Linked DNA regions of Notamacropus eugenii. The protein of the gene in region 2 purifies or fractionates together with the protein of the main gene of each other region. This does not show direct contact. Links are inferred from orthologs where the notes say so. Each region holds a gene or a part of one and is shown on either strand. Other genes may lie near its edges. The genes, in order: FYN and PAG1.

Evidence for each region.
Region 1: the proteins of PAG1 (region 2) and FYN purify together in Homo sapiens (co-immunoprecipitation; 3 studies listed by BioGRID and IntAct, with this or other methods). This does not show direct contact. The link is inferred for Notamacropus eugenii from reciprocal best matches to the Homo sapiens genes PAG1 and FYN.

What each region holds. Positions count from the first base shown.
Region 1 is NC_092873.1:192,199,447-192,215,108, forward strand, and holds the start of FYN (tyrosine-protein kinase Fyn), read right to left. Parts: upstream 8,574-15,662; 5' UTR 8,165-8,573; intron 1-8,164. UniProt on the Homo sapiens protein: Non-receptor tyrosine-protein kinase that plays a role in many biological processes including regulation of cell growth and survival, cell adhesion, integrin-mediated signaling, cytoskeletal remodeling, cell motility, immune response and axon guidance.
Region 2 is NC_092875.1:304,578,966-304,594,853, reverse strand, and holds the start of PAG1 (phosphoprotein associated with glycosphingolipid-enriched microdomains 1), read left to right. Parts: upstream 1-7,785; 5' UTR 7,786-7,887; intron 7,888-15,888. UniProt on the Homo sapiens protein: Negatively regulates TCR (T-cell antigen receptor)-mediated signaling in T-cells and FCER1 (high affinity immunoglobulin epsilon receptor)-mediated signaling in mast cells.

The DNA.
Region 1 (15,662 bases), on a different chromosome or scaffold from region 2:
AGCTTACTATTTCTGGCTACCTCAAGGATGGAAGCTCTGAAGAAAATGGAAGTGATTGAATTCATCAGATAAAACCCCAGCAGCAAATTCAAAAGGGGCAGGTAGTTAGAAACCTTTTAAAACAGAAGTTAAGAGGTATTTCTATGAGGGATTTATGGTCTTCAGCTTCTCTTCTGGCTGATGGGGCTCCCTCTCCTTCCTTCTCTCTCCCTGTCCCTCGTTCCCCTTCTCCCTCTCCCTGTCTCTCTCTTCCTCTCACTCTCTCTCTCTGTGTCTCTCCCTCTCTCTCCTAATTGATGTTTCTCCACCTCTTTAGTACCTGATGTTAACAGCTACGGTTCCAGAAGCACTAGGTTTCCTTTTATTTCTTTTCTTTTCAAAGATGTCCCCTGCTTGAGTCCAGGGATCATACAACCAGGCTTAACAGCCCAAACGTGGCTTCATTTTTTTTGAGGCCTCACCTTAAAACTGCAAAGTTTGGCAGTGAAGCTAAAGAATGCCGTTGAAGTACTCGAAGTATCGACCTTTTTCCATCTTGGGCAGAGTTGGTAGACAACCCTACAGCCCCATCCTTCTTATGGATGGGGGTTTCTTTTACTCTGACAACAGAATGTCCTGGCATGACAAATTCTCTTTCTGTTAACAAGGGTTGAAGCTTTGTGGAATGGTTAGAAAGGGCTTCTAGCCTGGGGTAACACTGGGTTTAGCCAAGGAAGTACAAATGTGCTGGCTAGTAGGGCATGGGCATGGGCACTGTCCTCTTCTATGAGGAACTGATCATTACCAGTTGTGGAGGTAGGTGGCTTAGTGGATAGTGCCCTGGTCTTAGAATTTGGGAGACCACAGTTAAAATCCTGTCTCAGGTACTTACTAGCTATGTGAACCTGGATAAGTCACTTAACATTCCCTTCCCCCTCCACCCCTCACTCCAGTCTCAATTTTCTCATCCCTAAAATGGTAATAATAGTAGCACATATCTTACAGGGTTGTTACAGGGATAAAATGAGATCATTTATTAAAGTTCTTTTTGAACTTTAAAACTCTGTTACTAGCTATGTGACCCTGTACTGAACCTCTCAGTGCATCTAATCTATAAAATGAAGAAGTCAAGACTCAATTACCTCTAGGGTCCCTTTCAGCACTAAATCTATGATCCTATGGTTTTTTTTTCACGACCCTAAATTCAGGCACAAATAGTCCATGATCACTTCCTAGTACTGAACTGAGACAACAATGTTTCCCCGACATTTAGTATTTACTGCCTTTTTCTGTCCCTCCCTGAGGACTGCCATTTTCATCTATTTTGTTTCTGTTTACATGGTAAATAGCATATTGATTGCTGCTTCAAAAGCCTTCTGAGTAGGCACCAAACCGTACTCTGTAATGAGAAGACAGGACAGGATGGTTGAATTGGCTTTGAAATTGGGGGATCTAGGTCCAAAACTAGGGTCGGTTACTTGATACCTCTGTGACCGTGGACAAATCACTTAACCTCACTGGGTCTAAGTTTCTACATCTATAAAAGATGGGGGAAGGGAGACAGAAGAGTGAAATGATTTCCAAGGACCCTTCCAGTTAAAGATCTATGATCCTATGAAAATGCAAGCTAACTCTGAAGCTTAGACAGTGAAGAGAATGGGAAAGAGCTCTCATCCAAAGATTACGATGTAGTAAGATACAAACATGGTTAAGTTTCATGAGGCAGCGGACATTATCTTTTCTTCCCACATTTTTATTAGGCCATAAATCCAATTCAATTTATATCTTTCCTGGATTACTCTGTTCTAATCAAGACCAGTTACATTTAACCCAAAGGTCTCCTTGTACAATGTACCACCCAAGACTGTTTGGATAGAATTACTGAGGCTCTTATGTATTCTGGTTGTTAAAAAATGATCAAATTTAGTAAACTAGCACCTCTAACTTAACGATCCTTCCCCCCCAACCAATCTATTCACTAAGACACTGCAAAGTGTTTTCTTGAATAAGAACCACCTGCAGTATTCAGGGGTGGGGAGGGGAGAGAGAGGAGGCAGAGAAGCACAATTTATACTTTTACTGTATTTGCAGAATTGATTCCATGTTCATAAGGAGTCCAAAAAGCCAAACCCAATCAATTCATATTGAAACATAATTAATACTAATTATCACCACACTAAAAGACTAAAAAACTTGTTGAAGTTACTTATAAGTACTTGCCTCCCCTCTCCATGCTCCCCCTTTCATGTTTTCCATTTCTAAGAATTCAAGATGACTGTATTTCTTAAAACCTGAGGTCGAGCTCTCCTCCACCCCCCACCCCATCAATGTCATTTCACAACCATAATTTGGAAACTACTTCCCCACCTTTTAAAAAAGATCATTACCTCCAGTTTACTAGGACTCACTCCCATGTCCTAAGCTCTACTATTCTCTTAGTGACACACTTGTCTCCATAATTCATGTCTCTTCTCTAACCTTTGGTCCTTAAAGGGCAATTTCTACTAATCTCTCATAGTTTCTGCTTGTTGCTTCTTAAAGATTATATATTGTGACTCCAGAGGGGACCATAAACCTCAAGAGAAACTCTCCAATAATACCTATAAATTGGCAAAAGATTTTTAAACTGTGTAAGACAATTCATAGTATTAATATGCCACCTTAAATATACTACTCATACTGTGCATGGCCAAAGAGACTCTGGTAGAGAATAATTCAGGGTTATTCATAACTAATCGAAGTACATTCTTCTACCTCCAAGAATATTTACTAATTGTTTCCTTGAGGATGAGGAGCCTGCATAATTTTTGTGTCTCAATCAATCAAGTATTTACTGTCTAGTTCAGGCCAAGGGGATAAAATAGAAGTCTTTGTCCTCAAAGAGCCTATATTCTGAAGCCAAGGGAGATAAAACAGATAACAAGGTAACTTTGGAAGGGCATTAACAGTTAGGGCAATAAGGAAAGGCCTCATTCCAAAGGGGAGCTGAGTCTTCTTGAAGGATGCCAGGCAAGGTAAAGAGAGGGAACATTCCAGGCATGAGAGGCAGCCAGTGCAAAGGGAGAGGTAGGAGATGGGGTGCCATATTTGAAGAGCAGCAAGTAAGCCAGAATGGCAAGACTGTAGAGTGTATGGTGGGAAGTAGCATGTAAGAAGGCTGGAAAGGTAGGATGGGGCCCATCAGGAGGCTATTGCAATAGTCTGGAGGGAGAGGTGAGTTGGGCCTGAACGAGGTTGGTGGTTGTGTGAGTGGACAGAAGGAGAAACACGTGAGATATGCTGTGCAGACAGAAATGACATGACTGGACAACTAACTAGTTAAGCGGTATATGTAAGAGAGGAGTTGAAGATGATGTCAAAAGTTGCAAACCATGGTAATGCCCTGAGGAATAACAGAAACCTTGGAAAGAATTCTGTTTTAGACACAGTACACGTGAGATGCTTACAAGACATTCAATTCAAAATATCCAAAAGGCAAAACTAACCAAGTGCTTTGTACAATAAGCTTACTAAATGTTTTCTGAATTGAACTGGTAGCAATGCAAACTTGACAAGTTACATTAGACTACAGCTAACCAAGATAAACAACCTATTTCCCAGGTGAGAACCAGTGCTACTATGCTTTAGCTAATACTCAATGCCTAGATGCTTTATATATGCTTTTAATAGGTTAAGTATTTTATTATTCTGATTTCAAGATGGAGACAATTTCTGCTTTGTCACATCAGTGGCACTAATAATTTGTGGGACCTGGCCTGAGGACAAGGAGCATCCAAAGACTATCTTATCTACTGCAGAAGTCAGTTTTCATATAAGTAAAAACATAGTTATGTATACAGGTGTATTCATTAATTAACTAATTTGTTCAACAAACATTTAACAGTTAATATGTGCAGTGTAGCATGCTAGGAGAGATATGAAGGTAAATAAAACATAGCCCTTAGCCTCCAGGGTGTGGGGGTGGGGTGGAGACTGGTAGCTAATATTTCTGAAAAAGATAAAATAAATACAAAGATGACTATAATAAAAATTGGAATATGATATATACATGATATTACTATAGAATGATGAGATATAAAGAAGAATGGGGGAGGATGGGAGATCAGAGAAGGCTTCATTTAGAAGATGGCACCTGAGAAGGGCCTTGAAGGTTAGATGTACTGTCCATACATGGAGCTAGAGGAAGAAGATGGCCATTTCAGACACAGAGACCAGTTTTGGCAAAAGAAACAGAAGCCAGGGAGGGGGTAGGGGAGGGGCAGTTTTAGAGACAAGTAGTAGATTAGCCAGGGTATATGCAATATCTGAGGGGGGAGTTGTACACAGTAAGGCTCAAAGAGTAGGCTGAAGTCAAATTAGATTTTTAAAATGAAAATAAAGCTGTTTCTTTAGGTCAACTAGAAATAGCAAAACAAATCATTGCCTTAAAATGTAAAATCTCTTCTAACAACTGAAATATGTCTTTGGCTTACAATAGCTATTAAGGTTGTATCAAAATAGTCATGTATTTTTGTGGGAAATATAATTCAATATAGTGCACCTGACTAGGGATTTAAATAGTTTTTATTTTAATCAAATAATCCCCTGACGGGATACAAAAAGATTTCTCTCTTTGATCTTGTGGGTCATAATAAATAAACTGCTGGCACCTACTTGTTTGGTCCTCCCACAATTAAAACAACTCTCCACCAATCTTGTTGTCACTACTAGAGAAAAATAGTACTGAAGTAGAAAAAGGGCACAATTATTATTACTCTTAGATCCTCCAAAATGAGAAGAAAAAAAATCCTTCTAATAGGAAGACTATTTTCTTACTTCAGCCCTCACCAGATGGTAGATAGACTTCATCATCAATTTTGGCCTAAAAAAGATTGGAGGTACTCCTCCCCACCCCACGTCTGCTGCTAGACTGACAGCACACTACCCTAGGGCTCCAACCAATATAATTTGGCACCATGAACTGAATAGAGGCCCTATCCTTATGTTGACTGATCCTACTTCAATCTGCTTGTCGGTCCTGACATGCTTTCAAAGCATTGTGACCTCAAAGCATTGAAATATGTCTTAGCAGCCCATCTGGAAGCTCTCTTCTCAAAAACTATACAAAATAACTGAAATCTGATGCCATTCAGAGCCAAATAAGGGAGGAAGCATGTAACATAAAGGGCCCCCTGGGTGCTGGTCACAACTCTGTCACTAACAAAGCCGTATTAACCTTAGCTGGGTCACCTCAAGACCTCAGTTGCCTCATCTGTAAAATAACTGAGGCTGGATTAGATGACCGGTAAGGTTCCTTCCTCTGATCTGAGAGTATACAAAAAACTTTGCTGAGAGAAATTCAGCTAAGAGTAAAGAATGGAATAAGCCAATTGCCTTGCTGTGAAAAGGGGGCGGAGACAAATTTCTATATTACATGAGCTTATTATTAAATAAAAATTGAATTATTTTGAACATGTAAAAAAAAAGAGTTCACTTAAAGAGGCCACAAGGACCTAAAAATGTTCAAAGAAAGTAATAGAAATGCTATAATGAGCAGCTTCAGAATCCAAAGCATGGGGGTTTTGTTCAAATTCAATTTTGTCCATGAAGCCACTTTTGGTTAGACAACAGAGTTTAAGCTTAAAGCGCATTGACTGCCCTTCTAGAGTCTAAAAACAAACCATCCTTTGTTTTCAGAAGTAACCCCGTTAACCACATTACTTTTTCCAAATAAAAAGTTCTTACAATGAAAGGCTTCTAAAATTCAAATATGCACGGATGGGATCTCAATTCTAACAAAGCTTTTATTTAAAAAAAAAAAAAGTATTCTTTCAGAATTAACTTGGGAGACATTGCCCCACATTTGTATTGGTTTGGTACCAGACTCTTAATACTCAAGTTTAGCCATTATGGAATTGGCATACAATGCACCCAACTTTACATTTCTTCCTAGAGCAAGAGTATCTGTTTCTGTATCTGTATCTGTATCTGTATCTGTATCTGTATCTGTATCTGTATCTGTATCTCTCTCTCTCTCTCTCTCTCTCTCTCTCTCTCTCTCTCACACACACACACACACACACACACACACACACACACACACACACACACACACACACACATGCTGTGACATTCTTCCCTTTCTTTTTTATCATATACTGCCCATGGTTTCTTTCTCAGAATAATGTTATTAAATATATAAAATAAAACCTATTGAATTACAAAGAAAATCAATTATTTTGAAATAGTTGTCAAAATATAAAAAAAAAAAGTTCACAGATTAAGGACCTCTTTCCTAGAGAGTGTCATGAGAGAGATGGTTTAGGGTTCTGACAGAAGATACATAGAAACTTCTATAGGTTGCAGCCAGTCTTGCCTCCAAGTTTTAGATATTTAACAAAACCACTTCCTCTGAGAGTTTCTGAACCCAACAATCTTCACCTGAATACTGGGGATACATGGGGCAGGATCTAGGGGTGAAAGGGTTAGAACACAAAGAGTAGAAAATACACAAGTAGTGAGAGGAAGGATGTGGGAGTAAAGAAGGCTAGACAGAGGCAGGAAAGGGACAAGGTTTCCAGAAGTATTTCCAGAGGCACTCAAGTCTTGTTGCCTTCATAATGGTTCTGAGTACTTAAATACAAAGCGACACCAACATCGACAGAGAAAACATAAAAAAGAGATTCCATAACAAAAGTCTCTGCTTATACTTGATTGGAAAGAAATGAAGTCTTTCTGGAGGCTCAGTTCTCTCTCACTCAGTTCCCTCCCCTATCACTAAGAAATGGATCAACCCATTAATATCATTCTCTGATTCATGAGTAAACTACTCCTTCAACACACCAACATAGCCCTAACTCCAGGCCCCTAGCACCCTCCCCACAAAACGGAGTCAGGAAAGAAGCCATCTAACGCTGAAAGGAAACTTCTCTAAGCTGCTGAAACCTTTAAACACACACACACACACACACACACACACACACACACACACACACACACACACACACACACCAATAACAACCATGAGAAAATAGTCCACTTCCAAATCCCCTACAGTTCCTGGGACGTTATTAAATGCCCACAAATGGGCATTTGGTGCCCTTTATCTTTCCCCCAAATGTGGCAGGAAAGGGGATGTGAGAGAGAAGATCTCCTGCCTCCTGTGGAAAGAGAAAGGGAAGCCCCAGGGAAAAGAAACAAGCAGGAAACCCCACCATTCTTGGGTATTTTGTGTGTCTCTTCTCTAGGAACTGAAAGGACCCTTTGTGTGACACACACACACACACACACACACACACACACACACACACACACACACACACACACACACACAGCCTGTGAGATTGATTTGAGGGAAAGAAAAGGGAGGATACTTTTATCATGCCCCCCTCCCTTCCTCCCTTCCTTTTTTGCAGTTAGTCACAGCAAATAAACGCCCTGCGAGGAGTCTTAGTTGCCTCTTTCTGGCTCACTACCCTCAGCCTGTGGGCTTAAAGATAAGAGAAAGGAGGAGACAAAAACCAGCAAATGATCTGGGGAAGTAGAGAGGAAACGCAGGGGGGCTGAGGGGAAGGTGGCGAGGGGTAAGAGGGTGAGGCTGAGGGGGGAGGAGAAAAAGCCTGAGGGGAGCAGAAGGAGAGGCGGAAGAGGGCGGGAAGCCAAAGGAAAGGGAAATTGGGGGAAGGGAAAGAAGGTGGGGGAAGTCGCTTAGGGAGGTGATGGAAGCCCGCAGGAGGATGGGCATGGGAAATCGTCAGCTACAGGGACCGCGAGAGGATGGAGAGGTGGAGGGGGAGCAGCAGGGGGCCAAGCCCCGGCTTACTGGGAATCATCAATTATTAAATGATTACATCATCCCTGTCATTAGAGCAACCCACGCCGCCAGGGTCCCCCGGGGTGGGGGCGGGGGGCTCCACCAGCTCAGCAGGGGCGGAACCCGCTTCTCCCTCCCGAGCCCGAGCCCAGCTCCAGTCCAGTCCTTCCCGGGGTGGGGAAGGAGCTGGGGTCGGGGGTCCGCCGCGCCGGGGCAGTGCAGGGAAGCCCGCGCCGCGCGCCTGTCAGGTCCGGAGAATGCTGGCGAGCCGCAGCGGCCGCGCGGCGCCCGACCCCGCGGCCGGAGATGCGGGGGTCCGGAGGAGGAGCCGGTGCCGGCGGCTGCGGCGGCCGCTGCAGCATCCTCTCCCCCGCCCACCCCCGCCCCGCTTACCTGAGGCTCCCAGCCCCATTCACATGGTCTTCTCCCGGCGCTCCTCTGCGGGCTCCCGGGGAGGCAGGCAGGCGACCCTTCCGAGGGGGCGGGCGCAGGAGGAGCAGGAGAAGCGGGAGGAGGACAGCGCCAGGGTCTCTCCCCCCCCAGCCCCGGCGGCCGGCTCCCTCCGGGTACCAGCTGCCGCTCTGGGAGGCGGCGGCTTCGGTGCGGGCGCTCCGCAAGCCACCCCCACCACCCCGGGAGCTAAGCGCTGCGCCGCCCCGGCTGGCAAGGGAAGGAGGGGGCTCTAAGGGGCCGTGGCCTCCCCTCTCCTCGCGCGGCTGCTCCTCTGCACAGCGAGCCTTGAGCCTTCCTCCTTCTCCCTCTCCTCCTCCTCCTCCTCCTTCTCCTCCACCCTCTCCTTCTTCTCCTTCTCCCTCTCCTCCTCCTCTTCCTCCTTCTCCTCCCCCTCCTCCCTGGCCCGCTCCTGACAGATGGCGCAACTGCAACTACGCCGCGGCTGCTCTCCCGGCTGGGCTACTCCCCCTGATGCTCCGGCCCCTCCAGCTTGGGGAAGGGAGAGAAAGAAAAAAGGGAGGGGAAGGGCGGAGAAAGGGGGAGGGCCGCATCTTGAGAGCGGCAGGCCCTGCAAGCCTATCACCGGAGGCCTAGCCCCCAAGAGCGGCCGTCATTGGACCCGGCCGCGGGGGCGGGGGCGGGAGTGGGCGGGCCCGGGAGCTGGTGGTGTGCTTCAGGGTGTCAGCGGGCATCCCGATGGGGACAAGGAGGATTTGAGTTCGCGGAGTGGGCTGTGTGAGCAGTAAGGCTTATGGAGAATTTTTTTTTTTTAGCAAAAAATTGAGGAGTGGGTAAAGTGTGCTGCGTCCAGTTCAGTCTTTAAGGGTTACGAGTCTTTCTCTTTTGGTTCTTCAACACTCCTTTCAGTACAGTTTTAGCATTTCCCCATCCCCTGCCACCCTTAAAACCATGGAAACCTGTTTAACAAAGTAGCGGCTTGCCCTCCTGGTGTTACAGTGTTTCAGGGGTGGGAGGACAAGGTTATAAAGTGTTAGGGTGCTCAGCGAAGCGTTCTGAGAGCTGTGTGCTCCCTACACAGTCTGAAGAAGGTGTGTGTGTGTGTGGGGGGGTACTCTCCCCAAGATAGAAATTGGGGAAATCTATATAAAAGAAAAAGATTCAAAGGTTTTTTTTTTTTCTAGAAAGGATTCCTCCCACCCCCAAAGTGGTCAAGCCTGGTGGTGATTAGATTAGAGCTGCGTGGAAAGAAGAGATATTCAAGTGTGTGCATACCATAATGATAGGGTAGAAGCTTATGTTTGCACATTTTTTCAAAATCATGTGTAATAGTAGCCGGGGATTGTCTCTCCAAATGTTGTCTTTGGTTTCGGGTGACATTCAAGCTTCCCACTCCTTTGCCCTCCGATGCATGTTCTGTAGTTAAAAAAAAATTTTTTTTTTTTTGGTGGATGGGATACACCATTTGGGGGATAAATCAGTCTATTTCCTGTCATCCAACTTTTGTATGATGAGATATATCTACATGAAAAGTAAAATTTTGCCTTCCTGATTTTCTTTATAATTGATTTCTCTTTATCTGAGAGTTTCACTTTGAGGCTTAACTAAAATTCGTTCATTTAATAATAACAAATTGCACTTAATGCTTTGTGCAAGGAAACCCCTCTCCGCTCCAAATAAGCTTTAATTCTAATGGCATAACTCAGAGAGAAAGGAATGCATCTCAGTTATTACTGTCTGCCTTCTCTGGCACAGATTTGATGGGTTTACAATAGAGTAAGGAGGACCTACTCATAGTTTTAGAGTTGTAAGGGGCTTAAGGGACCCTATTCTTCAGTCCTCTCTTTTTACAGATGAGAGAACCAAGGCTAAGAAAAGATTAGTGACTTGCCCAAGGTCACCAAGTAAGTAAATGGCAGAGGTCCTCTGACTCCAAAGCCACTGCACCACACTGACTAATATTTGTATAAAGACAAATCAGAACATAATAACATTGCCATAGAACACTGTTTCATTTGGTCCCCTTAAAAATACCTACAAGAAGAAAAAGAAGACTCTGATACACTGTCTTAGAGAAGATATTGACATTTATCCAAAGGATAAGCAGGGATCCTTTTGAAAATACTTCAAGTACCTCAAATTTCTCAGCTAGCTACTGTTAATTTTCTCTGTCTATGGGTTGTTCCCACTTGTTCTACAAGTCTGTCTTTTAAAAATGAAACATGGACAGTCTACCAGCACCATGCCAGGAAACTGAATCTCTTCCATTTGAACTGTCTTAGGAAAATTCTGAGGATTACCTGGCAGGGTAAGGTACCAGACACTGAAGTCCTTGCTCAAGCTGAACTGACAAGTATTCAAATTATGCTTCAGAGAGTGAGCTCTGATGGGCTGGGCATGTTGGTCGAATGCAAAATGTACACTTGCCCAAAAGACTATTTTATGGAGAACTTGTATGGGGCAGGCGATCACATGGTAGCCAGAAGAAGTGATACAAGGACACTGTCAAGGTCTCTCTCAAGAACTTTGGATTTGACTGTGCAACATGGGAGACACTGGCACAGGACCACTCAGCATAGCATGCCCACATCAGAAAGGTTGCTGTGCTCTATGAGCAAAGCAGAATTGAAATAGCACAAAGTAAACATAGGATGTACAAATTTGGAATATCCACCCCAAATATTCATACAGACTATCTGTGCCCAGCCTGTGGTAGAGCATTCCAAGCTCATATTGGTCTGATCAGCCACAGTCTGACACACTGAAATTTCACTTTATTATGGTGATGTTATTTTGATCCTCTTCGAGAATGAAGGACAATAACCAATCAACCAAGAGATCATACAGTCATAGCTTTAAAGCTGATTTTAGAGATCATCTGATCAAATCCCTTCATTTTACAGATGAGGAAACTGAGTCTCAGAGATTTTAAGTCCTTTTCCAAAGGTTACCTAGGTAATAAGTCAGATTCCAGTCCTTTGACTGTTAAGTCAACATTTTGTTTCATACCACACTGAATATGCCATCCAAAGTACCTATTGACAAGCTGCCATCAAGAGGGCATTCTGTCTTATTTCCTTTAACACCTTAAAAATCCTATTTACTGCCTTCCTCAAAAGTATTTGGATTCTTCTTGAGTGTTTTAGGTGGTTCAGATGAGTGGATCAAATACTGAAGGAACTCTGGATTATTTTATTAGTGGAGAAATGTCATTAAAGATGATGCATTATCATCTTCTTTACTGCTGTTTCTTAGGAACAATAGGACCTTTCCATTGACTTGCAGTTAAAGCCTCCTTTGTGTGTTGTCAAACCCAGGTAGAATGTTGAATTCTTTGAGAGGAGGTACTGTGTTTTCTATTTGTATTGCTACTCCTTAGCACAATTCTTTGAGCACAGGTCTGACCATGTCACCATCCCATTTGATAAATTTAGTGGGCTCCCTATTATCTCCAGGATCAAATAAAAAATTCTGCTTGGCTTTGAAAGTCCTTCAGAACCTGGTCCTTTCCTCTCTTTCCAGTCTACCTTACTCCCATGTACTCTGATATCCAATAACACTGGCTTCCTTCCTAATTTACTTCTTTCGCAAGCCTTCCTCTCATCTCTAGACTCCACTCATTTTTACTATCCAGAATTGTATCCCTTCTTTTCTCAGTATTCTGACTTCCTTCAGGTCTAAGCTCAAATCTAACCTTACGCAAGAAGTCTTTCCAGATCCTCCTTAATGCTAGTGCCTTCCCTTTGGGGTTGTCTTCAATTTATCCTTTACATACCTTGTTTTATACATGTTGTCCAATCTCGTCTGACCTTTCCTGATTCCATTTAGGGTTTTCTTGGCAAAGACACTGGAGTGGTTTGCAATTTCCTTTTCCAATGAATCTGTTTTGTCTGGCAATCAGAGAATAAGTGATTTGCCCAGAGTCACACAGCTAGGAAGTATCTGAGGCTGGATTTGAACTCAGGTCTTCCTGACTCCAGGCCCAGAGCTCTATCCACAGAGCTACCAACTGCCTCTATTTTGTATAGTTATTTGCGTGTTTTCTCTTGAATTAGATTATGATCTTCTTGAGAACAAAGACTGTCTTTTGCCTTTCTTTGTATCCTCAGCCCTTAGTAGAATGCCATGCACATAGCAGGTGTTTAATAAATGATTATTGAAATTGTGGATGACTATTTTCAGCAATACAATGATCCAAGACAACTCCAAAAGACCCAAGATAAAAAATGCTATTTGCCTCCAGAGAAATAACTGATGGTGTCTGAATATAGGCTAAAACATACCGTTTTTCTCTTTCCTTCTTTCTTTTGTTCCTTCCTTCCTTTCTTCCTTTTCACAAAATGACTAATATGGAAATAGGTTTTATGTGATTGCACATGTATAACCTGTATCAGATTGCTTACCATCTCAGGGAGAGAAGAAGGGAGGGAGGGACAGAATTTAGAATGTCAAAACTTTTAAAAAGCCATTTTAATTGTTTTTATATATAATTGGGGGAAACAAAATATGATTTAAAAATAAGTAATTGTTGACTTAACTAGTAAATTCTCAATAAGTTCCTTTATTCATTTATGTGAATTCATTTATTCATTCATTATGCTATAGAAAATCATGAAAGACTGGATTTCTGTCTCATATTTTCATCTAGTTTTACCCTGGACAAAAATGTTGCTCATTCTCATAACTGTGTTATGAAGAAGATAAAGTAGGAATATGGGTGAGTAGTTCCCGATGCCCTCTTGATCACTTTTTTGAGGTGGTAATTCTGTCCATTCTTTTTGGCATCTTCCCCTCCCTAATAAAACTTACTAAATGATCCCTCAAGGCCCTCAAAGTTGTGCAGCCTCCAATATGGATTTTGATGATTTGGACAGGTCCAGTTAACCTTCCTAACTTCATCTTCTAAAGTACCATTCCTACTTCCTAATTTAGCCATTACTGATTTTTAAAGACTTCAAAGTACCATCTATGAATCTAAGGTAATTTTATTAATTAACACTCTAATAAGTCAATGACTAAAAATTTCTGTATGGAATGTTTTTCTCTCTGTGTGTCAAATGCTTTGCTAGTATGGCACCCAGTATGTTATAAATGTTGCAAGGTAAGACGTCGTCATCATCAAAACCCTTTATTAGATATATATTGACATGATGCATTATGCTAGATGTGGCATACAGATTAGATTTTAAAATGTTTCTTTTCTCCAGCAATATCACTGCTAGGTCTTTAACCCAAAAACATTTAAAAAAGAGGGGGGAAAGGACCTACTTGTACAAAAATATTTATAGCAGCTCTTTTTGTGGCGGCTAAGGATTGGGAATCAAAGGATGCCCATCAATTGGGAAATGGCTACACAAACTATGGTACATGATTGTAATGGAATATTGATATCTTATTAATATCATGTCTTCTTAACATGACAAACAGGATGATTTCAGAAAAAACCTGCAAAGACTTACATGAACCAATGCATAGTGAAATGGACAGAACCAGGAGAACACTGTACACAGTAGCAGCAATATTATTCGATGAAGAACTGTGAAGAACCTAGCTATTCTCACCAATACAATGATCCAAGACAATCCCAAAGGACGCATTGATGAAGCATACTATTTGCCTCCAGAGAAAGAATTTATATTTATTGAATACAGATTGAAGCATGTTATTTTTCATTTTCCTTCATTTTTTCCTTTTATTCAAGTCATTTGGTACAAATTGATCAATATGGAAATGTTTTATGTAACTGCATATGTATAATTTATGTCTGATTGCTTACCATCTCAGAGAAGGGGAAAGGGAGGAAGAGGAGGGAGAGAGAGAATTTGGAATTCAAAACTTTAAATAGAAATGTTAAAAAATTGAAAAAAAAAGTTTCCTTTCCTTTAACAGCTCACAATTTAAGATCTACCAGATATGTTAAAATGGAGTACTTGAAACTAAATACTCTGATAATTAAAAAGACTGCATTTACTTTTATTCCTTTTCAGCCGTACTTGCATTAGACATAATACACAAGAGGGAATTGGGAATTAGGACATCTTATTGTATTATTTCCTGGGTGAGTTCAGGCAAGTCATCTCCTGAGCACTTCAGTTTGTAAGATCCTTCAAGGCAAGTAAGGTTGCATTTTCATCTTTTTATTGCAAACACCTTGCACATAGTAGGGGCTTAAGAACTGCCAAAAATAACTACAAAATTACTTCCATTTTACAGAAGAGAAAATTAGATCAATCAATCAACAATCTCTTACAGAGCACGCACTATACACGCATACATACTCATATATTGTTAGTTCCCGTCTACAAGGTTTAATGGTTAAAACTATTCATTCTTTTTTCAAAAATTGATACATTTCCCATGTGCCAAATAAGAACATACTTTCCAATACTTTTGCAGAACCACCAAAAATGTCTTGAGATTCTTTGAGATTTTGCCCACCTTAAGAGTAATATGTTTTATGAGGATGTCCAGCAACTAAATGAAGTAACAGAATTTCAAGCCATAGTTACTGTAAAATGTTGTGTTGAAAGGCAGCTATGGAAATATCCTAGTAACCCAGGGTGAGTAATAGTTTATATGGAGAAGAAAAGATCAATTCATTCATTTTACTACTTCATGGAGTAGTGTTGTTTAAAAATTGCTTGAGCTGGTAAAATTTTTAAATGTATTTACAAGGTTGAATTCAGGTGCCTGAGGTTATGTTTTGTACTTGGAAAGATGTTCCATTGTGTTTGCATGTATTAAAGTCATTGCCTACTATGTGCAAGGGCTATATTGATACATACAACAAAAACTGTATTCTCAAGGAATGTGCAATCTAATGAGGTGAAAATGTATACAAAATGTATACAAAGTGTATACAAATAACTAGGACACAAGGAGGGTAAGATAAGGGTAAGCAGAAGGGCTACACAAAATGCTCCAATTCAGGAGGAAGATGCATCTTTCAGTGTGTAGGCAAGATTTCAAGGAGCACATGGCACTTGAGTTAGGCCATGTAGGTAGGGAAGAATTTCAATTGATAGAGATGGGTGGAAGGGGAATAATTTCCACCATGGGGACCAAGTGAACGAAGATGAGAAAGGCAATGTAATGGAGTAATACTGGACGTGGTATCAAAGGACCCAGGTTCTTGAACCTGTGTGTTCATCTTTCATTGCCAAAGAAGACCATACCATCAGAGAAATAATGACATGACTCGCACTTGACTTTGTTTTGAGTGAGGGAGGGCTGTGCAGGTCACCAGCCTCACTTCTGCTCCAGAGCCATCTGAATCCAGTGACCAGATATTCATCAGGATGACTGGAGATGACCCAGGATGAGACAATTGGGGTTAAGTGACTTGCCCAAGGTCACACAGCTAGTAAGTGTCAAATGTCTGAGGTAAGATTTGAACTCAGGTCCTCCTGACTCCTGCACTGGTGCTCTATCCACTGTACCACCTAGCTGGTTCTTGGACACTTGCTAGCTATATGGCTGT
Region 2 (15,888 bases):
ACCTCCCAGACCTTCTCTTTAAGGAGGGACTCCAGGGCAGTCACATTGTTATTTCTCCCCACTCTAAAATTTGTCAGTATGTCCCTGCACCAAGTACCCTTCCCACTCTTTTCAGCTTCTTTTTTATTTGTTGTTTTTCTTTGCATCCCAGTACTCAGCATGGTGCCTGGAACATAGTAGTTAATAAATGTTTAGTCACCTTTGACTTATTTATTGACTAATATGGGATTTAATAAGGATTAATGCAAAGTTTCACATGGGCTTAAAAAAATTCACTTCGCAAGTTCAAGATGGAGTAGCTGTGTGGGTAGCATGTTGTATGAAACCAATTGTGGGGTTTTAGAGGACTGAAAGCTCAATAGAAGTGAATAGCATGATATGGCAATTTGAAAAGCTAATGGTATGTACTAGGTCTGTATCCCAAAAAGAATCAAAACAAAGGGGGGGGGGAAGGACTTATTTGTACAAAAATATTTATAGTAGTCTTTCCATGGTGGCAAAGAATTGGAAATTGAGGGGATGTCTATCAATTGAGATATGGCTGAACAAGCTGTGGCATATAGTAGGATGTTTTCAGAAAAACTTGGAAAACTTACATGAACTGATGCAAAATGAAGTGGGCAGAACCAGGAGAACACTGTACACAGTCAGAGTAATATTGTGCCATGATCAACTGTGAATGACTTAGCTGTTCTCAGCAACACAATGATCCAAGACAATTCTAAAGGACTCATGAAGAAAAATGCTATCCACCTCCAGAGAAAGAACTGATGGAGTCTGAATAGAGATTAAAGCACACGATTTTTCACTTTCTTTATGGTGTTCGTTTATGTGCATGTGTATGTGCATGCACATGTATGCACTTGTCTTTTCTTGGTCTGTGTTTTCTTCCACAGCATGACTAACAAGGAAATATATTTTTCATGATTGCATATCTATAACCTATATCAAATTGTTTGTTGGTCTTAGAGAAGGGGAAGAGAAGGGAGTGAATTTGGAACTTGAAATTTTTTTTTAAATGAATGTTAAAATTGTTTTTACTTGTAATTGGGAAAGAAATAAAATATCAGAAAGGGGAAGGAAGGAAGGAAGGAAGGAAGGAAGGAAGGAAGGAAGGAAGGAAGGAAGGAAGGAAGAAAAGGAAAAAAAACTAACGGCAACTACAATACGAGTCACAAAGCTTCCAGGAATAAGGATGGTGTAGTACTTCTGTGGTTTGTCCTGGTCTTGCATCTGCAACATCTCTATATCTTGATGTCTCCATTTAGAATGTCATATCCAGTTCATAGTACCACATTTGAAGAAGGTTTTGATATCTAAGGAATGTCCAAAGAAGGGCATCTGGGGGTCATGAAAAGAACCTTGGTTCAGAGATTTGGAATTAAAAGGCACCTTAGTTGTCATCTAGTTCAGTTCCTTCATTTTACAGATTAGGCAACTGGGTTCCAAAATAGCAAGATACTATGCCCAAGGGCACACACATAGTAAGAAGCAGAACCAGAGTGTGACTGCCCCCAATCTAGTGAATCTACTTTACCACTCTACCTTCCCTCATGCTATTCTCAGGATTAGTTGACCATAAAGGGAATGTTTAACTTTGAGGAAAGAAAGTCTGACATCAAGTATTTGAAAGGCTGTGATGTGCAGAACAATCAATTTGTTTTGTTTGGCCCCAGAGGGCAGAAACAGTGGGTGGAATTTTGCAAGAAAAACTCCCTAACAGTTAATAGCTCTCCAAAAATGAAATGAGCTGCCTTGGGAGTAGAGGATTCCTCCTTCACAGAAGATCTTCAGACAAAAGCTGAATGACCACTTGTTATGATCTCCTAGGAGGTCCCTTCTACCTCAGATTCTGTGATTCTCTCCATGTTGGTGATCCAGAGATGCTAGTACTCACTAGCGCTCTCACTCAAATCTCCTTTCTTCATCAGCTTCTTTACCTCAATCTCAGCACTTTTCTCACTCCCTGATCTTTTCCCATCTGCTGCTTAGGACTACAAATGGTGTTAGATTAACAGAGCATAGCATTTTCTCTGATTACCATTTAAAGGACAAGCTTATATTAATGGTGTTATTGTGTGAAATGGCAAAGCTAGAAGAATTAAAATTGAATTTAAGAACTCTCTCAACAGCTCTAGCGGAAATATTTCCCTCTTTCCACAGCACCAGTTTTTTATTTAACTTCAAATTTCAAGAATCCATGATTTTACTGACTGACCATTAACTCCACTGATGTAAATTGCCACCCTTCACTGCTTTAGTAGCTGCTCTTTATGAGTTGTTAGGGCCACAAATATTAATCCGCTGCCAACCAAGTTATGGATAAGCCTCTCATCCCTAAGCTAGAATGACAGAAAGATCAAATTTGGGGATCATACAATTCCAGTGTGCTCAGAGAAAACTCCAGAGTGTAGCTGGAATCAGATTAAAAATGCTCTACACAGCCATGTCAAACTCAGCTAGAAACACATCGATGCCAGCTACATATTGACTTAGAAAATCACAATTTAACATTATGTTCTACTGTATTTTTATTTATTTTGCTAAACATTTCCCAGTAACATTTTAATCTTGCTCGAACCCTCAGAGAGACAACTTCTTTGATATCTCTGATCTACAAGAGATATACCAGATACCATGCCCTGTAGCATGTAACCCTTTCAACTCTGGAGCTCCCACCTTGGTGACCATGCTGTCTTGATTTGTGAGTGTTTCAATTCTAGCCAACCCCAATCATAATTCACTTGCAACCTAGAGATATCATTGCCTTCCAGTATATACTCATTTCCTTCCATCATTGCTTTCCAGTTTTCAAACTATAATCAAGTCCATATTGCCACATCTATGGTTTCATTTACCATGCTGGCAATTTTTCAAGCCAAGCCACTCATTCTAGTGTTTTCCCCATTAGAATACACAGTCATTGAAGCAAAGGACTTTTTTGCTTTAATATTAATTATTAATATTTAATATTAATAATAATATACCCAGTACTTAACACAATGCTCAGCACACTGTGAGCTCTCAATACTATTTTAGTCTTCCATGCAGACGTGCATTTGTTGTTGGACCTATTCTCAAAACCTTCCAAAATTTGGAGTCTACTGCTATCTTTAAGAACTTATGGTCACCTTCATGCCAAGATGAAATACTGATGTAGAGTTTTCATGAAAAAGTTCTTCTAAAATGGCTGCGGGAGAGATCTTATTCTGAGCATTCTATCCTGAGAGATGTCAAGATGTGACGGGTAAATAGGCCAAGGGACAAGGGCAATTTTCATACTTGAATCTGCAGTGCGAAGATATCACCTCTTTCCACTTTTATAGCCACTCTACCCCAGTTCCCATAATTTTTTTCTCTCAGTTGGAAGCTCCTGAACTGTCAGGTTCTTAAGCCCTGATTTTTCATTTCAGTGCACTGTGTGGTCACAGGACATTAGGAAGCTTTACCTTGATCTCTCTGAAATGCCTTCTCTACAGGACGTCCTCTCAAGGGGCTACTAACGACTGAGTCTTGACAGAAGAGGAAAGTATTCCTTCCTACCCTTTTAAAAACTAGAGCCAAGCACACTTTATGCTAAAAACAATAGCAGACTTCAAGTTATAAATTTTAACTTTAAATAGCATCTTGATATATCCCTATTGCCAAATACCAACTAGGAAATCACGGAAGGGATATGAAACAAAAGTTAGAAGCCTATGGGGTTAGGGATAAGGATGGGCAGTGTGATTTCATTAGTATGGGGAGCTCCAAAGAGAAGAAATTCCCTCTACCAATGTAGGTCAGCACCTTCTCTCAACTTACAATCTTAGAGTCACTGAGAGTTAAAATGACTTGCCCAGGATCAGACACACATTAGAGTACACTGCCTTGAGTAGGTGAAACACTTAGAATGCTCTAGCTTTTAAAAATCCGTATAAATTTATTTCCTTCTGATGCCTTGTTATTTGGTACTGATAGATTTAATTCTCAATATACACATAGGGTATGTGGTACAGTGGGTAGAGTTCAAGGCCTTGAGTCAGGAAAACCTGAGTTCAAATGTAGCCTTAGATTAGATACTTACTAGCTGTGTGACCCTGGGCAAGTCACTTAACCTTGTTTGTCTCACTTTTCTCATCTGTAAAAAAGAGTTGGAGAAGAAAATGGCAAACCATTACAGTATTTTTGCTAAGAAAACCCTGAGTGGGGTCACAAAAAGTCAGACAGGACTGAAACAACTAAACAACAAATAAACTGACAGTTTCTAACTTAAAAATAGTCAGCCTAGGAATAATTCAAGAAAGGATCCTGTCAAAACTCTTGCCCTGCTACTCTTGGAGTTTTGCTGCCCTACCCTTGCTACCTACCAGGGCTGCTCTCACCAAATGTACTGCCACCAGAGCTCTTCCCATGACTCAAATTAATTTATTCACTTCCCTGCCACTAGAAGCCTCTTCCAACACTACCTGAGGAGCCAAAGCCAATATTTAGAGGGGTTCAGGGGACTCAAAGCTGAGGAATAAAAAAGGTTTGAGATTGAGAGATCAGGTAAAAAGTTTTTATGGGTTATTCTGGGAGCCTCACCATCATTTATAATCCTATTTCTATAGGAAACTACATTCCAATCAACCACTTTACTAGAACACAATCCATTCATAAATTGTGGACTCTCTGTATTATTATAAGAAGAATTGCCTTTTCTGCCTATTTCAAAGAATTCTCTCCTAGAGATTGAAGATCAAATTTGTTTAGCTTTTACTCTGTGCTCACATGAAAAGAGAACTAGAATAAATCTTTTCCAAGAAACAATTTGAAACTATAATTTAAAAAATTTTTATTTGTGAATTTACTGTCCAAAGCTTCTCCTCCCAGCTCTTCTTTTGGGTCTTTGCATGTATTAGCTGCTTACCCACAGTAGAAAATAAACATAGAACTCACAGATTTTCAGATGAAAGATGCTTTCTAAGCGAAAATTCTGCACAAATTATAACTAACAATACCAAAGAAAGAAACACTGGGTCAAATTTAGTGATAATTTTTACCGTTTTCTGTTGAAATGTGTGTTCATCCTTCATTGCCGAAGACTATGCCACCAGAGAAATGATGACATGACTTGCACTTGACTTTGTTTTGAGTGAGGGAGGGTTGTGCAGGTCACCAGCCTCACTTCTCCTCCAGAGCCATCTGAATTCAGTGACCAGATATTCATCAGGATGACTGGAGATGACCCAGGATGAGGCAATTGGGGTTAAATGACTTGCCCAAGGTCATACAGCTAGTGAGTGTGAAGTGCATGAGGTGAGATTTGAACTCAGGTTCCCCTGACTCCTGTACTGGTGCTCTGTCCTCTGCACCACCTAGCTGTCCCTTCTGCTGAAATAAAAAAAGTTTAACATAAATCCATCTTTTATTTGTTTTTTTGGGTTTTTTTGAGTATGCAGGGGATAGTTTAAATGGAGACCTCAGCACATAGATAATCAAAGATATCACAAACAAGGCCTTTAAAGAAACTGATTAGGAGTAGAATCTTAACACAGGAAATAAGTGTGCTTTGTTGACCTGTAAGGAATAATATAGGCCTTGGGAAAAACTGTGGATATTATCCCTACTTCTCTGTAGGGTAAGCTTATGATAATAATAATATATGAGTAATAACAGCTTTCATTTCAAAGCACTTCCACATACATTTGATATAACAGCACTGTAAGACAGAAAGTGCAAGTGTTTTTGCAGATGACAAAACTGAAGATCAGAGAGGTCATGGGGTCATTCAAAGATTCAGAGCTGGAAAGGCCCTTTGAGGTCACTGAGTTCAACTACTTCCCTTTACAGATGAGGAAAGTGAGTCTCACAGAGATTAAATTATTTGCCCAAGGTCACATAAGCAGGAGATCTAGGATTTGAACCCAGGTTCTCAGGCACCAAATTCAGAGGATGTTCTAATTCACAATGCTGCTTCTTATGATGGAATTCACTTGGGAGTCACATAAATTGCCAGGAAGCAGTCAAGAGTTCTAGATGTAGAACTAGATAAGACTTTAGTGACTACCAAATGCCTCCTTTGAGGCAACTTCTTGGTGCAGTGGATAGTAAGCGGGGCCTGGAGTCAGGAAGACTCATCTTTGAGAATTCAAATCTGGTCTCAGACACTTGCTAGCAGTGTGACCCTGCACAAATCACTTAACTCTGTTTGTCTCAGTTTCCTCACCTGTAAAATGAACTGGAAAAGGAAATGGCAAAGCACTCCAGTGTCTTCACCAAGGGGGTCATGAAGAGTCTGACAAGATAACTACAAAAAGAAAAGTCTCATTTTGCAAATGAAGAAACTGAGACTCAAAGGTGACTCAAAGATGGCTTACCTGGAGCAGAAGAGAGGTAGCCAAGATAGAGACTACTGTAACCTAAGCAGCAATTTTTAATCATCCCTTTTTCTGGAGGTGATCAAATTTCAAAAAATGCTATAATGTATTTTGTGAAGTTAGTGTCCATAATATTGGCTTAAAATACAATTACATTGGGCTACCATAATTATGTTCTGCATAATTTGAGCCTGGTACTCCTGAATTTTAATATTCAATTTAATTCAACCAACATTTGTTAAACGCGATTATTTTAATGGCACTATATTAGGTACTGGGAACCATAAGAAGAAAAACTATGTGGTGCAGAGGAAAGAGATATATTCGGTATCAAGAGGCTTTAAGTTTAAATCCCAGTTTTTCCATTTACTTTTCTCTTGGTATGTCCTTGGGCAAGTCATTTGACCTCAGTTTCCACACCTATAAAACGAGAGGGTTGGACCAGATGGCTTCTAAATTCTCTTCTAACTCTAAATCTATAATCCAGTAATCATCCTACCTTCCAGGAGTGTGGTCTCTACTAAGAGAGGAGATACAATGTATACACTTAAGTTCTAGTGTGAATAGGTAAAGGGAGCCTTTGGGGATGCTAAAAAACATCTTCAGTTGGGACTACAAGGGAAGAATTCATGGAGGGGTTTTTTACTGGCAGGTTAAACAGAGATCTTGGACGTTTTGAAAAAGAAAATATTTTGTAAACCTCAAAATACTCTATAACGGTGAGTGAATCTATTCTTTATCAATCGTTTCTATATGAGTTCTGCTAGATAATGGACTTTTTTAGTCCAGCCTGAGAACCCAGCCACTCCTTTAAACGTATTTTCCTGGGAACTTTGGGACCCAGCCTTGGGCTGGAGGTTTCTTGCACCCAGCTGCGGAGAGGGTTCCGCTCCTCCAGCGCACCCCGCCCTCCAGCCTCCTTTCCCTCCCTCCCTCCTTCACTCAGTGACGTGCCGCAATGGCCTCTACCACACAGGCTCTGGGGGAACATGCGCACTGCCGCCACTTGTGTCTCAGCTAGCCCGAGCTCGCCGCGGCTGTCAGTCTCCGCTGTGCGGGTCAGCGAGCGGACCGCTTGGGCTGCAGGGGCCCCCTCGGGACTGTGACTGGCCCGCGCCCGGGAAGCTTGGCGGCTTGGCCGTGCGTCTTCTCTGCCTCTGCATTCCCTCTTTTCCCTTTAGAAAAGAAAGAAAAGAAAACCCAGCAAGTTCCATCAGACTGGGGACACACTCCAGAGGCTCCCACGGCGGCGGCACCAGGAGGAGTCGCCGGGAGCTGCTCGGAGGAAGCCCGCAGCCCTAGCCTCTGCTTGCCGCCTCCCTGTCTGCTGTGGCTCCGGAGCTCTTGCCTGATCCGAGGCTCAGTACGGACAGCGCCAGACGCCTTCTTCCACCAGCTGCACTGCAACCACTGCCTCCTCCTGCGCCTCTGCTCCAGCTCTGCTCCGACACAACCAGGCTGGTCTGAAGCCAGGCTCCGCAGTCCCGGCTGCCACCCTAGAGCCTGGGCTGGGGCCGCTGCTGTAGCCAAGGGCGTCTGGATCCCAGTAAGTTGAATGCAGTTTTCCTGAAGTTGAATAAGGGGGCGGGGGACAGGGGGAGGAGAAACTAAGAGGCAGTGCTGGGTTTGCATGTGTTTGTTTTTATGGGGTGGGGGTGGAGGGAGGAGAGAATTGTGTTGGGTGCTTGGAGGAATTGGCTTATGGCCCCCCTCTCTCCTCTCCAGCAGTTTCTGGCTTAGCTGCAGCTTGGGGCTGAGGGGGTGGAAAGAGAGCCCCTACCCTTCACGCTGCCCATAGAAAGGGAGAAGGGTGTCTGGTGACTGGTTGGGGTGGATGGGCTACTTACTGGGTGACAACCCTTGAACCTCTGACGGAGGCACCAGTTGGAAGCGTGCTTCGGGAGGACAGGTGCTCTGATGGTATTTTGCCTAGTGCTAAGCGCACATTCCAAACATCTTGAGAGAGAGAGAGAGAGAAAGAGAGAGAGAGAGAGAGAGAGAGAGAGAGAGAGAGAGAGAGAGAGAGAGAGAGAGAGAGAGAGAGAGAGAGAGAGAGAGAGAGAGAGGCTGATGTGCCTTATGTCAAGTCTGCACTGGAGTTGATTCTGCGGGTTTCCGTCTGGCTAGGACTGCAATGGACCCGCGTCTTTTGCGTGAAGGGAGGCAAGAGGAAAAGCTGTTTTTTCCAGGTCACTGGTCTGCCTAACTACCTCAGTTCTCAGTACAGGGACAGAAGTTGTTAGCGTTGGGGACAGATCTCTTTAGGGGGAAAACGAATTTACATACAAATTCAACACTTTAAGTTGGAGGTGGCGTAGGAAGAAATATCATGTAACTTTAGGAATGCAGGGGCAATTGACAAAGGGCAAGGATTCAAACTGAGAGGACTCCATGACTTTCCCTTAGCTGTCATTTTTAATGTAAGGAGAACAGTGAAGTCTCTCTGAGCGCGTGTTAGAACTCCATCTCTCACTGCAGTGTCTGCAGCTTTGGGGCTCCGTTCTATTTGGTTAACATCCAACTTCATCAGGATTTAATGCAAATGCTGACATGCTATAGGAGCCTGCAGTTTGAATCATACTGCACTTTTCAAATTGAAAAGCCTTCTCTTAATAGTATAGTACAGAAGGAAGAGTTGAGTCTGTTTTCAAAGCAGCACAAGGAATTGGATGCATAAATCATTTTTGAAAATCAGATACAGTATGTACCAGCCTTTGAAGACTTTCCTTATGCTTTTTACAAAAAGTAGAAAACATGCTTGCCAGACAGTTGTTGAGCCTGAAAGTTAAGTGTACTGATGGGCCTAATTAACTTAATAAACACAGAGAATGATTTATAGGTAGCTGAACTGTACTACTTTGAAGGATAGAACTCTTTAACCTTTCTTTCTCATCTGTCCCCCAGAGGAGTCCTTTTAAACATAGCAATATATCATCATTGGTGTTTAATTCTTGAGTTGATTAAATTTATAAGAGTAGTAGATTTTGAAATTCAGCATTACTGTGAGGCTATTGGACAGTGACTGTAGAAAAAAATTAAGAAACCAATTTAGGATGTATGTGATTTAGAAGCCATTGAAAACACTGCTGCAGAACTGATCTCATTCCAATGTCAAAATATTTTTCTTAATTTGGACCTAAGATAAAAGAAATTAATTCCATTATAAACCCAGGCATATGACTGTCAGACATTTAACTGAGAGAAAAGTATATTTTATTTTAGGTATTTCATTATACAGAACTTTTATTCTGGGGTCTATGTATACATATGTTGTCTAATGGAGTAGGTTTTATTTTCTTTATACCATAAGGCAAACTATCAATTTTTAATTTTTTTTGTAAACATTAAATATAGTTGGGGTTTTTTTAAAGTGCTATGTTAGTCCCTGGCAACTTATATGAAAATATCCTGGTCTTCCTCTTTTAAGTATCTACATATTTTAGTTTCTTAGGCTATTTAATATTAATGGATAGCTAAGACTTACAATCTATGATGGTATCCTTTTCCAAGTAAAAAAATTTATATGTATCATTGTTCTAGAAAATGTTTCTAAATGGGATATGTTATGGGTCTTTCATGACTGGTAGAGGTAACAAGAATTGTTGAGCAAATTGTTATTTTTCCTGTATTGGCATAACACTATCAATCTTTTTTCCTACCTTTGTAAATACAGCTGAAATGACTTGCTACAGATCCTAAGGCACAAATATCCATCAAATTTACCCATCTAACTTAAAAAAAATTATATTTAATATATCATCCTATTTTTTGTATGTTGCATCATTGTGTAAATTAAATAAGAAATATTTCTCCTTCATATAAAATAACCATCTGTCCCAGTTTATTTGCTTTCCAATGTCTATTCAAGAATGTATAATTTTCTTGTTACATTTTATATGCTAAAAGATTCTATACTCTAGTAAATTTCATTAATCAGTTTTGTAGAGATCGAAAATTGATTGTGTATACACTGCTTGTAATGTGTATCTTTTTACTGTCTCCAGGACCCTGATTTGCAGTTGGGTGGAGCAGTGGATTGGGCACTGGGCATGGACTCAAGAAATTGTTAAGTTGTTTCAGTTGTGTCTGATTCTTCCATGACCCCATTTTAGGTTTTCTTGGCAAAGAAACTGAATTGATTTGCCATTTCCTTCTCCAGCTCATTTATACAAATAAAGCACGGAGGCAAACAACTGAGGAAACTGAGGTAAACAGGGTTAAGTGACTTGACCAGGATCTCATTGCTGGTAAGTGTTTGAGGTTGGATTTGAACTCAGGTCCTCCTGATTCCAGAGCCAGTCCTCTATTCACTGACCTCATGAGACTCAAGAAAACCTGAGTTCAGATTCAACCTTAGACGCTTATTAGCTGTGTGTCCCTGAGCAAGTCAATTAACCTCTCTCTCCCTCAGTTTCCCCAACTATAAAATGGGAATAATAATGACACCTACCTCATAAGGTTGTAAGGATCAAATAAGATAATGTCTATAAAGCACTTAGTACATAGCTTAATAAATGCTTGTTCCTTCCATTGACATATGAGGGACACAAGCAATTGAGTTCGTATAAACTCTGCCTTTTCATTAACTAAGATATTCTATCAAAGATAATCAAGGCATCCTGGGTCTATGTCTATCTCTGTACTCCTGGAGAAACATGAATCCTGCCTTCAAAGAGCTTACAGTTTACTTGGGCAGCTATGTGTCTGTCACAGTGGATAAAGTACTGCTGGGCCTGGAGTCAGATTTGCCAGACAATTCCCAGAACTTTGTGACTAACTGGATTGGGTAGAGAAGTAAAAGTGGACAATTTTGAGTCTGAGTGACTATGAGAATGATGGTGTTACCAGAAACAAGGAAGTGAGGTGGAGAAGCCTCTTTGATGGGACAAGATAACAAATTTAGTTTTGGACATGTTTACTTTGAGATGTTGAGCTATCCAGATGATGAGCAACAGGCAATTGTACGTGACGACTGGAGAGATGTGAGACAACAAAGATTTAAAGATTATTCACACAGGAATGATAATTAAAGTCACGAGAATTAAGAATAAGGCGAGAGATGACATTATATTCAATTCAATATGCATTTTAGTGTCTACTATGTGCCAAGCACTGGAGTAACTGTTGGAGATTTGGAAACATAGACAAAATCATCCTTTCCCTCATGGAGCTTATATTCTATTGGGAGCATGGTAATATATGCACAAACAGATTAATATAAAATGTAAAAAGTAGTTTTGTGGTGGGAAGGGATAAGAAGCACTCGCTACTGGTGGTATCCACAAAGGCGCCCTGTGGGGAAGCAGCATGACAGAATGTCCATAAATAAGTACACAGATGATATATGGGGTAGCTGGGTAGTGCAGTGGTTAGATAGTGCACAGGGCCTGGAGTCAGGAAGATCTGAGTTCAAATTGGGCTTCAGATATTTACTAGCTGTGTGACCCTGGGCAAGTCACTTAACCTCTCTCTGTCTCAGTTCCTCATCTGTAAAATGGAGACTGAGTGGAGAAGGAAATGGCAAACCACTGGTATCTATGTTTGCCAAGAAGACCCCATGGACAGGTCCATGGAAAAGTGTAGAGTGAACAGTCACACAACTGAATGACTAGACAGCTACATATATATGTACACACAAACCTACATATATGTACACGCAAATGTACATATACGTACATACATGTGTGCATGTATGCATGTGTACATATATTGTACATTCATGCAAAGTTTTGGAAAAAAGAAGAGCATTTAACAACTGAGGAAATTAAGAAAAGACTCAAGTGGGCTTAAAGCTGAGCTTTGAAGCTCCACCTGAGATGGGAGAAAGTTCTAGAAAAGATGGCTAAGAACAGGCTTTGGAATTGGCTACATCTATGCTGTAGAATTAGGAAGAGGAGCCAGTGAAAGAAAATAGAGCGATTTGATAAAAAGCAAAGTGATGTAGGGACAACAAGGTGGCACAGTGGATAGAGGGCTGACCCGGGAGTCAGGAGGATCTGAATTCAAATTCACCCTCATACATTTACTAGCTGTGTGACCTTGGGCAATGCACTTAATCTCTATTGCCTCCAAAAAAAGAAAAGGAAAAAAAGAAAAAAAATCAAAGTAATGCAGTGCCAAGGAAGCCTGAAGGAAAGAGTTCCAAAGAGGGAATGATTGATTCATCATAGTGTCACTGAGAGGGTAAGAAGGATGATGACCTAGAAAAAGCTATTGGAATTAGACCAACTTGAAGGTATCAGTTTCAGTGAAGTAGTGGAACAAAAGAATCCAGAATCCGAGGGTTTAAGGAGTAGACCCCCTCTTTTAAGAAATTTGGTTAGTGAAGGGAAGAAGAGTGATTGATAGATATAGATGGATAAGTAGCATTAAAGAAAGTTTGTTTTTCCTGGTTACAAATTATTTAGACCAGGTACAAATATGCACCTGGAACCAAGGGGCAAAGCCCTGCCACCCAGCATCCAAGTCCCAGACAAATTAGCAAAAAAAAAAAAAAGCTATGGAGAGTTTTCTTAGGGTGACTTGGGTATAAAGGAAGTCTAAAGTCAACCAGCCTCTAAAGTCTTGAGACACCTAAATTCTCTAGAAATGTTACTTTTGGGGACTTTGCTGCCAAGGTAGACCTTTTATGCATAGCATTTTATACATTTCAAGACATTTTTACTTTATTATCTCTCCTGAATAATAAGCAACTTAGAATAGGTGGTTTTGTCTTTATTTTACACATTAAAAACCAGGGCATACTCAGGGGTGGGGAACCTATGTGGCCTTGAGGCTGAGGCCTGAGTGAAAATCCTGCCTCAGATACATACCAGTTGTACAAACCTGGGCAGATCATTTACTTTTCTCAGACTCATCTGTAAATGGAGATAATAATAGCAGCTACTTCACAGGATTTTTGTGCATTTATAATTATATAATTTAATTTAAAGTACCCTGCAAAATGTAGAGTGCTATATATATGTTAATTATATTAGTTCTGTTGTTCTTATTAGTCTAGTGTTCCATTCATTACAGTCTAGTGACTAGATAAACAGGAAGGCGCTGAGGATTGATTTTTGGTGCTGTTACGTTGGCCAGTGAAAGACAAGTTAGGTAGAGAAGTCTAGTGATTGTAGACTCTGCACCATGCATCTCTATGTCTTGGGCAAGGTCTGAAAATCACTCTCCTTCTAAACACTCCCTCCCTCCATTTCTGCTGTATTTGAATGTGTACAGTTTTTAAAATGAGTTTTCAGCCCTCATTGTACCACATTTGATCTGATTTACAACAGATACCTAAGTGCAATGAACAGTGGCATTTATTGCTATTCCATTTTCTTTTACTCATCAGTTTTGTTTTGCCCTCTCTCCACCTTTTAACTTTCTTTGTACGCAGAGCATAGAATGTCCTAAACTATTGCCTACTTTGTGTACCACTAGATCCAACTCCAGATGGTTGTATGACAAGTTTCCTGTTCACAAACAGCAGTTGGTACCCACTGTACAGAAACTTCATATCTACACCTTTTGGGGAAAGAAGATACTAAGATTAAGAGGCCCAACCAACTTAAAAAAGGAAACCACATGCTAGTTTTGTGAAACAGGAAATATCAATCCTTCAAATGATAGTGGAGCCACAGAGTGTTTATCTCTGTAAGGGTAAAGGTTTACATCATAGTAATATGTTTATCAAGGAAATGACAAGCACAGAAATCTCAGTTTTCTTAGATGATTAAAAAATGAATTTTATTTGAGAAACTTAAAAGGAAAGTCAACAATAAATATTGGGAAAATTACTCTTCCCCTCACCCTGTGTTTGCCTTCCCTCAGGAAATAGCACATTATTAACAACAATGTCATCTGTCATTTCCAAGAAGAATAGCTTTCTTTTTAAAGAAGATTTAATCCATAAATCTAAAAGAATGATCAATGGTGATGATCTGCTTTGAATTGTGTTGTTCTGGAGTAGAAATATTTCATTAAAACCCCCTTCTCTTCCCACTCCCCATTTCCAATTCCCATCTTGACAGTGATTTAAAGCCTTTTTGGGAACCTTTCCAAAATGTATATTCTATTTTTTTTCACCTGATCAAAGGCAAAATATGTTGATTTTAGTTATGTTGTATTTGGACTTGTCTTAATGGCACCTTCATTTTTCTGTGTGTTTTATTGGAACTCTTTGCTATATTTATTCTAAGTAACCCACTGATGTACATGGAGTAAGCTCAGAGAATTGGGAAAACTTTAGGTGCAGTATTTAAGGCACATGTTTTCTGTTGGGCTAGACTCAAAATATGTCCCTTCTGAACCCTTTCAGTGATGTAAAGGGACCAATTCTTCAACAACAAAAAAAAGTTCTGAATGTCAAATTATCAACATTTTATTTTCTTTTACCCTCTGGCCTTTCACTTTCTTTCATGACCTCATCTTCTCTACATGTCACACCCAGTGTTCTTTTGCGTTTGATGGGCACCTTTCTTTTAGCTTGCTTAAAATACTAAAAAGTGAATCACCATTGACATTTGTAATATTTTAATTCTGAGGAAGACCAGTTTTGCTTGAAACAAACTGCATTGATTTGTATTGTATGTAGCACAAACTAACAAACATGCCTTTTTTTTTTGAATGCCCCAATGTAAAATTTCTGTTAAATGATCAATTTATCATTTAAAGAAGACCAAAAAGCATATGTCATAGGTAGGAATTTTTACCCAATTCTTCATAAGAACATAAGAGCTGGAAGAAACCTTAGACCTGATCTTGAACTTCACATTTTACAAAGAAGGAAACTGAGACCTGAAAAAGCCATGTGAGCTGTCCAGGGTTACACACAGTATTATCAAAGTGGTCATATTCTTTCTTCATTATGTAACCTGAAGTCAACTTAACTCTTTGAGTTGGGTCTGAAGTGACTTTATTGACAAAATGGGGGAGTTGAATTTGATAATCTTTTTTTAAGTTAATTTATTTATTTTTAGTTTTCAACATTTACTTCCATAAGTTTTCAATTTTTTTCCCTCCTTTCCCAAGGTGGCCTGCAATCTAATATAGGAGATATATATATATATACACACTCCTATTAAACATATTTTCACATTAGTCATGTTGTATAGAAGAATTATGACACATCGGAGAAACCATGAGAAGAAAAAACAAAACAAAATAAAAAAAGAAAATAGTCTGCATCTCTCTGCATTCAGATTCCATAGTTCTTTCTCTGGATGTGGATGGCATTTTCCATGATGAGAACTTTTCAATTGTTTGAGATTCTTGCATCGCTGAGAAGGGCTAAGTCTATCAAAATCAGTCATCGCAGACTGTGGTTGTTATTATGTACAGTGTTCTGGTTCTGCTCACTTCACTCAGTATCAGTTCATGTAAATCTTTCCAGATTTTTCTGAAGTCTGCCTGTTCATCATTTCTTACAGCACAACAGTATTCCATTATATTCATATACCACAAACTTGTTCAACCATTGCCCTGAATTTGGTCATCTTTTAGCCCTTCCATATCTAAGTTGGGTGATGCTCAGAGTCAGACACAGAATTCATATCCATATTTTCTT